Macaca mulatta: one gene and its partners. The protein of the gene in region 1 purifies or fractionates together with the protein of each later gene. This does not show direct contact. Links are inferred from orthologs where the notes say so. Each region holds a gene or a part of one and is shown on either strand. Other genes may lie near its edges.

Region 1 (4,213 bases):
GAAGAATACTCTAAAAAGGAAACTCCATCTTGTGGTGGAGTCTCAAGTATATATTTTATAGGCAAATTTTCATTTAAAAATATAACGAAAGAAATATGCTTGTAGAAAAAGGCAGGCCCAGCATAGAAGCATCTTAGATAGAGCAATATCTCCACCTTGTGACTATTTAGGATGTTGTCACTAAAATTTTAATAAAGCAGTGTTGCATTTTCGCAACTCTAGTTATATAGAAACCACTTTTTTTTGTACTTCCCTCAGGACTGGAAGAAATTAAGCTGAAGAATTATGCTTCATACTAAACAGGTTTTACCCCGTCCTAAAAAAAATTAGCAATATTACTTTCTAGAGCTTGGCAGGATAAAGAATGATACAACTTTCTCTTGAGAAGGGTTTGATACTATCAAAACTATGGGATCTATGAAGTTTTAGACGTTATGACTTTAAAACCCAAAATATGTGAACTCTAATCATTCAATTCACCAATGTCAAAGACATTAATGAAGTTACAGGGAGATCTAGAAGATAACTAATTCTTAGTCATGGGTAAACAATGCGTTAATGATTGTTCTCTGAATTCCCAGAACATTTCCATAATTAATTATTCCTTCAAGAGACAGTTTTCAGTAATAAGTGCTACCTGTTGTGTAATATTTTTATTTTCTCCACTGGGCTTCAAATGGACAGCTTTAAATTTCTTAGCTTACAGTAGACACTTTAGAATTACTGTTATTAAAAAAAGTTAATTAAAAGATTATTGGTCAGGTGTGGTGGCTCACCCTGAAATCCCAGCACTTTGGGAGGCCGACTTGGGCAGATCATGAGGTCAGGAGATTGAGACCATCCTGGCTAACATGTTGAAACCCCATCTCTACTAAAACTACAGAAAAAATTAGCCGGGCGTGGTGGCGGGCGCCTGTAGTCCCAGCTACTTGGGAGGCTGAGGCAGGAGAATGGCATGAACCTGGGAGGCGGAGCTTGCAGTGAGCCGAGATCATGCCACTGCACTCCTGTCTGGGTGACAGAGCGAGACTCCATCCCCAAAAAAAAAAAAAAAAAAAAAAAAAGATTATTAAATAATGCTATTAAATATATAAAAATCGGAGAAAGCAGCCATATCTACTTGTAGCCTGAAGATCAGCTACTTGTAACAAGAGAATAAAGATTAAATTAATCACACAAATAGTTTTGAGTTTCTGTTTTGTGCAAGGCTCCATGGGTGATTCAAACACAGGATCCTAAGGATCAAAATACTGTATTCTGAACGAGAGTTTGAAAACACAGGGCAGAAAGTCAGTACAGCATATTTTCCAGGATGCAGGAACAAAGTAGTTAAGGTTCTTACTACCCTCTGAATTCTCAATTCCTAATCATTTGTGAAACAGAGGATACAAATTGTCAATTTCTGACAAGCTATGGCCCTGAAAGTGTCATACATTCTGTAGCAGAGTAAGGTTTCAGCTATATTAAGAGCCAAGAGCAACCTTTACTAAATATCTGACGTAGGAATAGTAGAGTATGTGGTTACATTAAACTTACCTCATATTGGACAGAACAAATATTTGCAAGAATACTTCAGTCTAACATTTGTGGGTGAAGGTTAGCAGCTTACCTTCCATATGTAGGCAGCTTCATCACTTGAGCCACTGACTAAAAACTGGTCATCTGGACTAAGGCTGGATTTTACATAAAAGGTAGAGTTCTGGTGTCCATTGAAAATAGCCACTGCCAGAGGAAAAAAAACAAATTACTTGGCTCTCGTTATTTCTAGTGGTCAAATGGATATAGACAGCATATATATTCTAGCAAGTTTTATCACTGTATTGCCTATTGAAGCAGATGGTCTAGCTTTATCCATGAAATACAAGGGAACTGGACACTGGCAGAAAAACAAAACCCTAGAAAGAGGCTTTAGATTAGATCCAATCTCATGAACTCAGTCTGAATACTTGGTATGAAAATGGCGATATCAAGAGAAAAAAATTTGATGAAAACATTTCTTAAAAAAAGAATGCAGCCAACGTGCAACTGACAGTAAAACACCTTTATAAGACCCTCTCTCTCCAGCCCAGGGTAGGATTTCTTCCATTGCATAATATATTCATCTAATTTCCCCTTATACTTCAAGACTCTTGAGGATAAATTTTATGTCTTACTTTTTCTTCACTAGATTTTATAGTGCTTTGAACAGAGTAGATCCTCAAACATTTGTTCCATGAATAGGAAACAAACAAACAAACAAACAAACAAAACAGTGAAAAGTATCATTTGAGTTCTGGTTAAAACTTACTACTAGCTTATCTGGGATGTGAGAATCATTTTAATCCAGCATTTTAAGTAGGCTGAATGGTGGAAGTAGCTAGTGGGGTAAACTATGTTCATATGCAAGGCACTAGATTAGGTTTAGCCTTCTCACTATCAGTGGCAAAAGGGCAGGTAACCCAATCTAGCATACGTTCTTGATAGGTTCTTCTATCCTAAGAAGGTCAAAACCTGAGGCCTCTGACATTAGAACACTACTAGGAAATACAAGAGAAAAATCTCAATGTTTGGAGAATTTAAGGATACCTTTAGGCAGGAAAAAACAATCACACTCCAGAGAGAAAAGTATTAGTAGGCGACTTAACAGCTTTCCATAAGTGCTTACAGGAATCTCTTCCATTTTCTAGAATAAAGCTGGAAAAGAACTTTGTATTTATAGCTTTTAAGGAAAAAGCTATGCAGGCATAGCAAATTTCTCCTCACATCAGATATTTTTACTGTGAAAGTGAGGCAGGATATGAATCAATTTGTATACACCTATTATCACTGCAAAATAAACAAGCTCCTTTATTCTGAACATTGTTTTAAAACTGTAATTTTTAATCTTCCTCCACTCTGAACTATGAATGGAAAACTCTAGCCTGAATTTCCCACTATACCTGTAAGGATTTATTGCCCTCTGCTGGTCTAAGAAAGGCTGGTACGATATGCACTGTAAATGTTTAAACCTTGCTAAAAATCCTCCTAAAATGCATATTGGCTTTAATGAGCTCAATTTAATCTTGCAAAGTCATCCTCATGAACATCACTTAATATAACACCATAAATACAAAGCATGGTAGATCAAGTATCAAATCCAAGATCCTTTCAGAAGTTTTGAAAAGGACAAGTAATTACAAGATGTTATACACACACACACACACAGAGTTGTCATTCAATTTTTTTTTTTTTTTTTTAAGACAGGGTCTTACTCTGTCACCCAGGCTGGAGTGCAGTGGCAAGATCATGGCTCACTGAAGACTCAAACCTCCCAGGATCAAACCTCCTCCTACCTCAGCCTTCCGAGTAGCAGGACTATAGGTACATGCCACCACATTCAGCTAATTTTTTGCATCTTTGTCAAGATGGGGTTTTGCCATATTGCCATATTGCCCAGGCTGGTCTTGAACTCCTGGGGTCAAGCGATCCGCCAGCCTCAGCTTGGGTTTATAGGTATGAGCCACCATGGCCAGCTGTCATTCAATTTTTAAGGAACAAATTGATCTATTAATCTATTTACCTATCTATCCATCTGAGCAAATGAAATTAAATAGAAGCACACAAAAGGTTTACTAAATCATTAGCGAAGTGTTTGACGGCAGGACACTAAACTCAAGGCCCTTTTCAGTGCCACACTGCAGCAAAAATTATATAGAAAGAGCTCTTGTACATCTGATAATATAATCAGGATTAGGTTTTATCTTTCAAGGAAAGATTTTTGATTAACTAAATTAGCAGTTCTCCAAGCTCAGATTCCATTAAGGAAAGCATTAAGAAAGCATTAAAGAAACACCTCTTCCCTTTTCTAAACATTATTGCTCTTGCTTAGAGAAAATCAGACCCAGTGCAAAGCATCAGAAATGCCGACTATGATACTGCCACCAATACTAAAGTCCTAATAAGATTGCTTGGAGTGACCTTTGGAAACTTCTTTAAGATCTCAGCTAAAATGACAAGTTCTGGACCGGCACGGTGGCTCACACCTGTAATCTCAGCACTTTGGGAGGCTGAGGTGGGCGGATCACAAAGTCAGGAGTTCGAGACCCGCCTGACCAACAAGGTGAAACTCCGCCTTTACTAGAAATACAAAAATTAGCCAGGCGTGGTGGCGGGCACCTGTAATCCCAGTTACTTGGGAGGCTGAGGCAGAAGAATTGCTTGAACCTAGGAGGCAGAGGTTGCAGTGAGCTGAGAT
Region 2 (4,731 bases), on another chromosome or scaffold:
TTCTGACAAAGGAACAAAGGCAATTCAGTAGGGGAAAAGAGGCTGAAAAACTGGACATTTGCAAGGAAAATACTGACTCTAGATTTTTTGTTTGTTTGTTTATTTTTTGAGATGGAGTCTCATTCTGTTGCTCAGGCTGGAGTGCAGTGGCACAACCTCGGCTCACTGCAACCTCTCCCTCCCGGGTTCAAGCGATTCTCTGGCCTCAGCCTCCCGAGTAGCTGGGATTCCAGGCGCCTGCCACCACGCCCGGCTAATTTTTTGTATTTTTAGCAGAGATGGGGTTTCACCATGTTGGCCAGGTTGGTCTCAAACTCCTGAGTGCTCAGGTGATCCACCCGCCTTGGCCTCCCAAAGTGCTGGGATTACAGGCATGAGCCACTGCACCCGCTCTGACTCTAGATTTATATTTCACAATATATACAAAAATTCACTCTACATAGATCATAGACCTAAATGTAAAACCTAAAACTCTCAAATGTCTGGAAGAAAATATAAGAGAAAACTTTGTGACCTTAGATTAGGCAAGATTTCTTGGATACTAAAAGTACAGTCCATAGAAGAACAAACTGATACATGTGACCTGAAAACTTAAAACTATTACTCTTCAAATGGCACAATTAAGAGAATCAAAAGACAAGTTGAAGACTAGGGAGAAAGTATTTGTAAGGCGAATATCTGATACAGGACTTGTATCCAGAATACTTAATAAACTCAAATACTCAATAGTAAGAAAATAACCAACACAACAAAAATGAGCAAAATATTTAAATAGACACTTCGTCTAAAAAGATACATAGAATGGCAAGTAAATATGAAGATGCTTCACATCAGAGGGAAATGCAAACTAAAACCACAGCGACACTCCACCACACACCCACTAGCGCAGCTAAAATTATAGGCTGAGGACACCACATGCTGGTGGCGGACTGGAACTGGAACTCCCATACACTGCTGGGAGAGGCACAAAAGGGGCAGCCACTGTGAAAAACAAGAAATTTCATAAAAAGGTAAACATATATTTTCCATATGACCCTTGAGAACTTACTTCTAGATAAAGAAGTAAGCAGAACTTACCTGAGAGGAATAAGAATGTATGTCCAAACAAAGGGTCATTCACAGATGTTCACAGCAGCTTTATTTAAAACAACCCAAGGCCGGTGCAGGGGCTCACGCCTGTAATCGCAACACTTTGAGAGGCCAAGGCAGGCGGATCACCTGAGGTCAGGAGTTTGAGACCAGCCTGACCAACATGGTGAAAATACAAAAATTAGCCAGGTGTGGTGGCGGGTGCCTGTAATCTCAGCTACTTGGGAGGCTGAGGCAGGGGAATCGCTTCAATCTGCGAGGTTGCAGTGAGCCAAGATCGCGCCACTGCACTCCAGCCTGGGGTGACAAGAGTGAAACTCTATCTCAAAGAAACAAATAAAAAACCCCAAACATGGACACTCAAATGTCCATTAACTGATGAATGGAGAAAATAACTGTGGTATACCCATTCTATGAGGTAATAAACAAGTTACAATCACATTGCGTGCACATGAATCTCAAAAGCACTGTCCTAAGTGAATGAAGCCAGACACTACAAAATAGATGACTGCATTTAGATAACGTTCTGGAAATGACAAAATATAGCGACAGAAAGCAAATGGGGGACTGCCAAGGGTTAGGAGTCAGGGGAGAGGGCTGATTGCAAAAGTGGTCATGGCAATTTCGGGGGTGGTAAAAATATTCTACCTTTCTACCAAGAAGAGTCTATCTTGACCATGGTGCCGGTTACATAACGGTATATATACATCTGTTAAAACTTCTTGGAGTGCATATTATATGTAGACTGTATCTCAAAGCTGACAAGAAAACATAACTCACTTACACTTCAGACAAAGAATGGATGTGTATGTACACCAAACTGTCAACAGTTTTCTTTGGGTGGTAGGAGTATAGGTGATTGAAGTCTTCTTTTATATATTTTTTATAATTTTTACAATGCAGTCACTTGCATATCCAGAAAAGAATTTTTTTAATTCAAGTATTTTCACAGAAATAAGTGTATGACACATCGTGACCCAAAATGTAGATATCAGACTACTTAATGAACGTTGTTTTACAAAAAGACGACGCCAGAAAAAAACATCCGCATGTAAATAAAATATCCAAGTACGGTAAAATGCACTTTTAGCCATTTTTTGTTACTTTATAAATGGAACACCATCACTTTGAATTAAACGCTACAAAATCTGAATATCTTAAAGGCAACCACTGATCACAAAACAGAGAAGAAAAGCACTGTTTTTGAATTTTGAAGTTTTTCAAAATCTGAATATCTTAAAGGGAACCATTAATCACAAAACACAACAGAGAAAAAACCCTATTACTGTGGCAAGTGACACAGTACTAACAGTTTTATTTATAACGAGAGAAATAATTTGCTGTATACTTGCAAAATATGAGTCACGTGGCTCCTAGAAACACACCTCCTTCTCTTCGGTAATGGGATAACTTTAAGAATCGTTCTAAGCAGCTTAAGCCTGAAAACAAAAATTCCACCACGGCAATAAACAAAACCACTTGTTGCCTCTGGGGCTCCCGGCCCTGCAGTGGAGGCAAACGCCCTGCCTTTCCGCTCCCCGGCGAGAGCCTGCGAGGCACCCGGAGCGGCCGCCCGGCCGCGTCTGCGTCACGCGGGGCAGGAGCGGCGCCCCCAGCCTCGGCCGCCGCCTCACCTGGTAGAGCTCCTCGAGGTTGTACCTGATGGAGGTGCTGCTCTGCACGGCCCGCACCGCCTCGTGCAGCTTCCGCCACGTGTCTTGCGTGTAGTTGTCGGGCAGCCGGGGTCTGTCTGCAGGGCGGAGAGAGAGCGGGCGGCTCAGGGCGCGCCGCGAAGCGCCCCGCGTCGCCACCCCCGACCCGGCCGGCGCCCCAGCGCCCGCGCTCAAGAGGCCCGTACGGATCTCGGGCCTTCCCCCCAGGGCGGGCGGGGTCTCGTGGGGCCCGCTGGGGTCGCCCGGCCCTCGACCCGGCCGCCGCACCCACCTCGGAAGTTCTTGATGACCAGCTTCTTGGAGCCGCCCGCGCCCCCCGGCTTGGCGGGCGCGGCGGCCAGGGCCGCGGGCTTGGTGAGGCCGTTGGTGCGGCCCACGAGCGCCGAGAAGCTGCCCTTCCGCGGGGCCTCGTCCGCCATGGCTGGGCCGGAACCGCCGCGCCCCGCCCCGAGCGCCGCCGCCCGCCCAGCTCCGCTCCGCCCGCCCCGGTCCGCGCGGCCTCCGCCCAGTCCTCCTCGCGCGCCCCGCCCCGCCCCGCCCGCGTGCCCGAGTCCAACCGCCGCCGCGCCCGGCTACTGCTGAGCCCTTAGGGGCGCGCGCTGGGAACCCCTCCTGAGGGATCGGACCCCCCCTAAGAGCTTCGGACACCCATTCCTGGCTCGAGGGCGCGCGCCGGGACCCCCACCCCCGCCCCCGAGGGATCGGGACAGCCCCGGTTCCGGGGGGCGCACCGGGACACCCCCGGGGCTCTGGGTACCCCCTCCTGGCTCGGGGGTGCGTGCCGGGGGCCCCCTCCTGAGGGGCTCGGGAGCCGGGACCCCCTCCTGAGGGCCCCAGGGAGCGCTCCTCCTGAGGGTTCGGCACCCGCACCCGGGGCGTGAGACCACCTCGAGGGCTTGGGGGTGCGCGCCGGGACGTGCCCCAACTTCTGAAGTCTCGGGAGCGCGCGGCGGAGGCACCTTATGAGAGCTCGGGAGCGCGCGCCATGTCCCTCCCCTCCACCCTCGCTCGGGCGCGCGCGTCCCGAGTCCCTGGCCCAGCCCGGCGCGGAGCGTGATCCGCGGCCTCGTTTTCACAAGGGGCAGTCGAGGGGACAGCGCAGTGAAAGGCACTTTAGCAGTGGGGCTGTTCTCGCCACTGGACCCCAAACCCCTCAGCCCGGGCGGGCCCGAACACACAATCAGAGTCGCTGGCGTCCCGGCTGAGAGGACGGGGGCCCGACAGAAAGACCCCGGGACCCCTTAGCCCGAGCGTGTCGCCGAGCCGGTCCCTGGATTCTCCCTCCGGAACCACCCTGCGCACAGGAGACGGGGTCGGGGGCTCCGGGACCCAGACGGACCGAGGGCAGGAAGTGACGCCAGCTGTCCCGCTTGGGGTGTAGGGGGTGGCGCTCTGTGCTCGGCGGCGCTGCCATGGCACACATTACCATCAACCAGTACCTGCAGCAGGTGGGTCCTAGCCGGGGAGCGCGCGGCGGTGTGGCTGGCCCTCGGCGTGTTCCGTGTGTCCCCTCCTGCCTTGGACCCTCAGGCGTCTTCCTTTCGCGCCTCGCCCCCTGTCCTCTGTCCGGGTCCCCGGCGGGCAGCGGCGCGAGCCGACTGAAAGGCCGAACAGCGGCGGCCGGGGCTCCCCTGCAGGGCCGCCGTGGGGGCCGGGCGGTGTCCGTGGATCGCGGAGTTGTCGCGGTGTAAGTAGACGCGGGGGCTCCAGGTCACTGCCCTCATTGCTGGCGTGTGTGGCCGCGCCCCCAGGGGGCCCGAAGGGCCTGCGAGCCGCGCCAAGGGCCCGGTGTGGGCGGTGCTGTGTCGGGTGGACGCTGCTTCCCAGCAGGATGCGGGATGACTTCGGGGACTCCAGGAGGCGATGGAGGGGTAAGCGCGAGGCTGTGGCGGTGTTTCAGGCCGGGCTGGTGTCCCTGGTCTTCGCTGTGTTTTAACGCCCTTCACTCTCCAAGCACAATGCACACTTC
Region 3 (4,951 bases), on another chromosome or scaffold:
GTGGAGGTTGCAGTGAGCCAAGATCACGCCACTGCACTCTAGCCTGGGCAACAGAGCGAGTCCCTGTCTTGAAAAAAAAAAACACAAAAAACAAAAACAAAAAACCATGCTATAAATCTTATCAGGCTTTTAATCTCGTACATTTTACATATAAATCATTAAAATTTAAATATAACATTTCCTATAAAGGGGATAATTTTAAGTCTAGAAACTCAAAAGTCACCTTGAGACTCTAACTTGCACTTACTAAACTATAAGAAACAACATTTTTACCTGTTTGGCATTTTCTATGTATGCAGCCATGTATTCATATGCAGCAGCCTGAGCATTTACTCGAGTTTCAGTGCCCTCCACAGGCAAAGCAAAGCTGTCCATAATGATCATGGTTTCACCATCCACCTTTCCTAGCATCAGACCCATCACTTCCAAGTTGCCTCCTGATCTGGCATGCATCACCATCTTCAGTAGAGCCAATGCCGAGATTTTGCAGTACTTAAAGTAATGGTGACTGCAAAACAAAATCACAATGTAATTAAATTTCTTATATAAAGTAAAATTTCAGAAAAGTTTTTATGAAGATAAAGAGTAAGTATTGAAGGAATTTACAGCGATGGAAGGGGAGTGTAGACTATGGGGAGAAAAAGTAGAAAAGGACAGTTTTTGCAGGCTGGAAACAATAAGTATGTTATAGTCCTGCAATGCATCCCCCTTGGGGGAGGGGAAAAGTCTGAAATAGTTTTTTAATATGCTAAATAAGGGAGTAACATGACCAGTTCAATAGACTTTTTCTCCATTAATCTGGAATCACCCAATCTTGGATTCTGACTGCTTGGATGGTTGTGCCTAACTGTTCTGAGGCCTAACCTCTGGCCTAATGGTTAAGAATGTGGGTTCTGACATTCATCTGCTAAGGTTTGAATCTTGACATTGCCATTCCCTAGCTGTGGTATTGGGACAACCATGTAATGTCTATGCCTAGGTTTCCTTTTCTGTAAATAGGGATAGTCATAATTGTTATTAGGATAAAGTAAATGAAATAATGTATATAAAGTGCTTAGCTTAGCACCTTACACATACTAGAACCCTAATAAGTGCTAGCTGTTATCAGCATTATTAACCTGTCTCTTAACCCTACTCTCAAAGAACAGAGTGTTGAAGGGTGGGCTTCCCTGTTATATCAGCCTCAAATTAAAAAGTAGCCATAATATCCTAGTCTTCTATGATCATTATTTCAGAGTTGGTCATCAATGAATTAAACTCTTGAATAAAATTACATTTTGGTCTCATTAGTGCAGCCCAAGACAGCTAGGATGAATATAATTAGAGCCACAATTAGACAGTGAAGCAGGCCGACAGTTTCCAAATATTTAAGAGTACACAAACCTAAAATGCACAACCTGCTACAGAAACAAGCAGACAACCAAGCAACTTAAGCAGCCTTACAGAGCAGTCAGTCAACGTCTCTACAAAGCCTTTTTAGATGTCTGCCCACAGAAAGAATCCAAATTTAATTCCTAAGCTTTGCCAGATTTCAACCAAAAGCTGAAAAATGTGTAGACCTCATGTTGGAAATCAAGACATGAATCGAAATCTTGGCTTCTCCCTTTACTGGAGAAAAGAAGAAAGACAAGTTACTGTGCTCCTATTACATATATTCTAGACGACTCTTTTTATACATTATCTCACCTAATCTCTATGACAATACCAATAGGTAGGTCTTATTTCCATACTATGACAAATGAAGATGGATAAGTAAATTTCCTAAGGTCAGTCAACCAGTTAGTGACAGCTGTGAAGTTTGATCTTAGGTCTGACTATTGCTCAGCTAAGAGTTCACTTATCTCAGTGTGATCATAAATTACATAATGTATTTGCTTGTTTTTTAATTTGTAAAAAAAGGATGGATATACTGTACTGGGTTGTCATAAAGATTAAATGACGTGGAAATCTCTAGCTAGATGCTTCCGCAATTCACCATTGTGGAATCTGAATACTGAGAGACAAGGCTAGCTTTGTAAAAAAAACTGTGAGGCAGTAGAAGTATGTCCTCTTGTTGACTGCAGCTCTCATTTCTATCTAACCATTAGCTTTTGTGCTCCTTTTACTCTCTCTCAAACATAGCCCGTAATAATTATCTTTTCCTGAGAGCAGGAAATCTCTCAGGAGATGCTCTCAGGAAAACATAAATATTATGGGTAAAGATCCCTCGACTTGTCACCACTCCCAGGGAAAAATGGGTATTGTTGAAGGGCAAAAAGTCGTAAGCTCTATTTTTAAAATTTCTGGCTTATAGGAACTGATGGAGTAACATTGTAGAGACCAGGTAGAGCCTCCGTGTGCCTCCGAAATAATTATCAGCAATCAAAAAACTATTATAGACCCAGGCCTCACGCCTGTAATTCCAGCATTTTGGAAGGCCAAGGTGGGAGGATCGCTTGAAGGCAGGAGCTCGGGATCAGCCTGAGCGACATAGCGAGGACCCACCTCTAGTTAAAAAAGAAAATAAAAGAAAATAGCTCATAGCTATTTTTGAGACCTTGAGCTGCTGACTCGATTTCTGAAAACAGCTGCGGTCCCCAGTAAGGGAATAGCTGAAGACCCAAATAAGGTGCATGTCGACACTGGGTTCAAGGCAGGGTGTGCGGCATATATGACAATACGGACGTTCAGAAGTGACAACTTAAATCACCGCTTGTTGTTCTCCCCTTACATCATCCGGGGGTAAATGGATTAAAGCGACAGAAAGGGAAGTCAAAGCCCCAGCGGAGGGCTTAGGCTCTACTTGCAGATCCAAGGCGCATATTCTGTTCCCCTCCCCGTCGGTGAAAGCTCTTCACCCCTTTCACCTCCCTCTCCCTCTGGGTCTCTTAAACTCCCGCCAACCCTTCCCTCCCCTGCGTCTCGCCAGGGACCTCCTCACTCCTTAGTCCAGGGCTTCGCCGCCAGGATTTCTTGCTGCTGTTTCTTGTCGTATTTGTAGATTTCATCGATACTCTGAGCTTCCTGCATATTGTTGGCCAATTCCCAGGTTTTCTGAGCCATACCGCTCCCGGACGCCGCCATTGCAGAGAAAGCGGAGAAGTTGTCGTCTCTACAACCAAGACGCAACTTTACCTCGCTAGGTCTCCGGGTGTGGGCCTTGACCCTCCGCACCACGGGAACAAACTCTTACCTAGACTCTCGGGGCAGCCATGACACCTAGAACCGGAGGTGAACTTGGTAGAGACCATTCAGGGAAGAGACAGGGACCTTTCCGGGACGTGACGATATAAGCAGCAGTTACAGGAATAGGGAGAGACGAATCTTCTTGTGACTTAAATTAGAACATCTTGTCTCGGAAAATTGTATGTGTGAAATAGAACAAACAGAATTATAGGGTATGGGAATGGTATAGTCTTCCATACCGGAAGAAGGGCATGTAACGTTATTCCAGAAACTGTTATTTGCCTTCTCTGCTTGTACTGCGCAGGCTCGGTCTCCGCCATATTAAAGGTAGTTGGAGCCTTAACGGTGGGATGTGGAGGGCAGAAAGTGTTTTTGTGTGGGTCTAGGTACCTTAAATGAGATAAGTTTGTTGAAAGACTAAAGGGTAAGGCCGTCTGTTGTACAACTGAGCTAAAAGTCGTTCTGGAAGCTGGTTGAGAGGAAGATAAACATGGCATTCCAGTTTACTTCAAGATGACTCACTGCACATGCGTAAAAGCTAACGGGCTCGTGGTGGCTTGGCACTTAACTTGCAGATGGGCTTTTTCTATCGATGCCAGGAGGCAGTGGGTACTCCTTGATTGCTATTGTCATGTCTTTTTGGGTGTCGGTAAAAATTAACATCTACATATGCATAATGTGCCATTACTGATCTGAAAATGTCCAGTACTCCGTTCTTATAATAGGTTACAGTTAAATCTTTGGCACTGCTGTGAATTATGTGCCATTACTGTTCTGAAAATGTCCAGTACTCAGTTCTTATAATAGGTTACAGTTAAATCTTTGGTACTCCTGTGAACCGCATTTGTTCCCAAAGCGTAATTAATCTCGGCAACTGGTTTGTTTTCTTCCTACAGTTAATACAATGTTCAATTATTTTTTTAAATTAGTTTACGTGTTTTAGGTTTTCTTTTTTCTCCATCTCATTTCTCTATCCATGCAAGATTTTAAGTTTCAAGACACAGGGAGCAGGTCTGCGTTCCTTGTTTTATCTCCTAGCACCTAGCATAGGTGTTCAAGATTTTTTTTTTTTTCCTTTCCTGAAAAGATAGCATCACAGGCCAGGCGCAGTGGCTCACGCCTGTAATCCCAGCACTTTGGGCAGCCGAGGCGGGCGGATCACTTGAGATCGAGAGTTCGAGACCAGCCTGGCCAACATGGTGAAGTCTCTAAAAAAATACAAAAAAATTAGCCAGTCGTGATGGTGTGCGCCTGTAGACCCAGCTACTCAGGAGGCTGAGGCAGGAGAATCGTTTGAACCCAGGAGGCGGAAGTTGCAGTGATCCTAGATCGCGCCACTCCAGCCTGTGAGACAGAGCCAGTCTCAAAAAAAAAAGAAAAGAAAAGAAAAAGAAAAAAGAAAAGATAGCACCACAGCTGTTAACAACCTGGCCCCTACGCACCTCTTCCAGCTTCATCTCTCTTTAGTCCCCCCTGAAACTTTTCGTTCTAGCAATGCAAATATATTTCCTTTGGCTTTGCATATGTGGTCAGCATTGCTTGAAATGCTCTTTCCTACATTTTCTGCCTGGGAACTCATATTAATCTTTAAAAATACAGTCCAGTGAGATCGACCACGAACTCTTTCTTGACACTCCAATGACCATTCCTTCCATGATGTCTCTTAAGTCTCTGTAGGTGCTTCTGTAACTGTTACAATGCGTTGTAATAATCAGTTAAGACAAAAACATTGGAATTATCGAATCCACACCACAGCTTGCTGTTTTGGCACTTTCAGTTGAAGAAA

Evidence for each region. The genes of interacting proteins can lie anywhere in the genome.
Region 2: the proteins of DTL (region 1) and CUL4A purify together in Homo sapiens (affinity purification with western blotting; 15 studies listed by BioGRID and IntAct, with this or other methods). This does not show direct contact. The link is inferred for Macaca mulatta from reciprocal best matches to the Homo sapiens genes DTL and CUL4A.
Region 3: the proteins of DTL (region 1) and COPS5 purify together in Homo sapiens (affinity purification with mass spectrometry; 6 studies listed by BioGRID and IntAct, with this or other methods). This does not show direct contact. The link is inferred for Macaca mulatta from reciprocal best matches to the Homo sapiens genes DTL and COPS5.

The regions. Positions count from the first base shown.
Region 1 is NC_133406.1:69,805,678-69,809,890, reverse strand, and holds part of DTL (denticleless protein homolog), read right to left. Parts: intron 1,723-4,213; coding exon 1,610-1,722; intron 1-1,609. UniProt on the Homo sapiens protein: Substrate-specific adapter of a DCX (DDB1-CUL4-X-box) E3 ubiquitin-protein ligase complex required for cell cycle control, DNA damage response and translesion DNA synthesis.
Region 2 is NC_133422.1:107,452,606-107,457,336, reverse strand, and holds the start of CUL4A (cullin-4A), read right to left. Parts: upstream 3,197-4,731; 5' UTR 3,182-3,196; coding exon 3,034-3,181; intron 2,840-3,033; coding exon 2,724-2,839; intron 1-2,723. Other genes in the region: PCID2 (PCI domain-containing protein 2), read left to right, coding at 4,175-4,210. UniProt on the Homo sapiens protein: Core component of multiple cullin-RING-based E3 ubiquitin-protein ligase complexes which mediate the ubiquitination of target proteins. As a scaffold protein may contribute to catalysis through positioning of the substrate and the ubiquitin-conjugating enzyme.
Region 3 is NC_133413.1:77,753,035-77,757,985, forward strand, and holds the start of COPS5 (COP9 signalosome complex subunit 5), read right to left. Parts: upstream 3,197-4,951; 5' UTR 3,064-3,196; coding exon 2,921-3,063; exon of another isoform or gene 2,913-2,920; intron 509-2,912; coding exon 274-508; intron 1-273. UniProt on the Homo sapiens protein: Probable protease subunit of the COP9 signalosome complex (CSN), a complex involved in various cellular and developmental processes.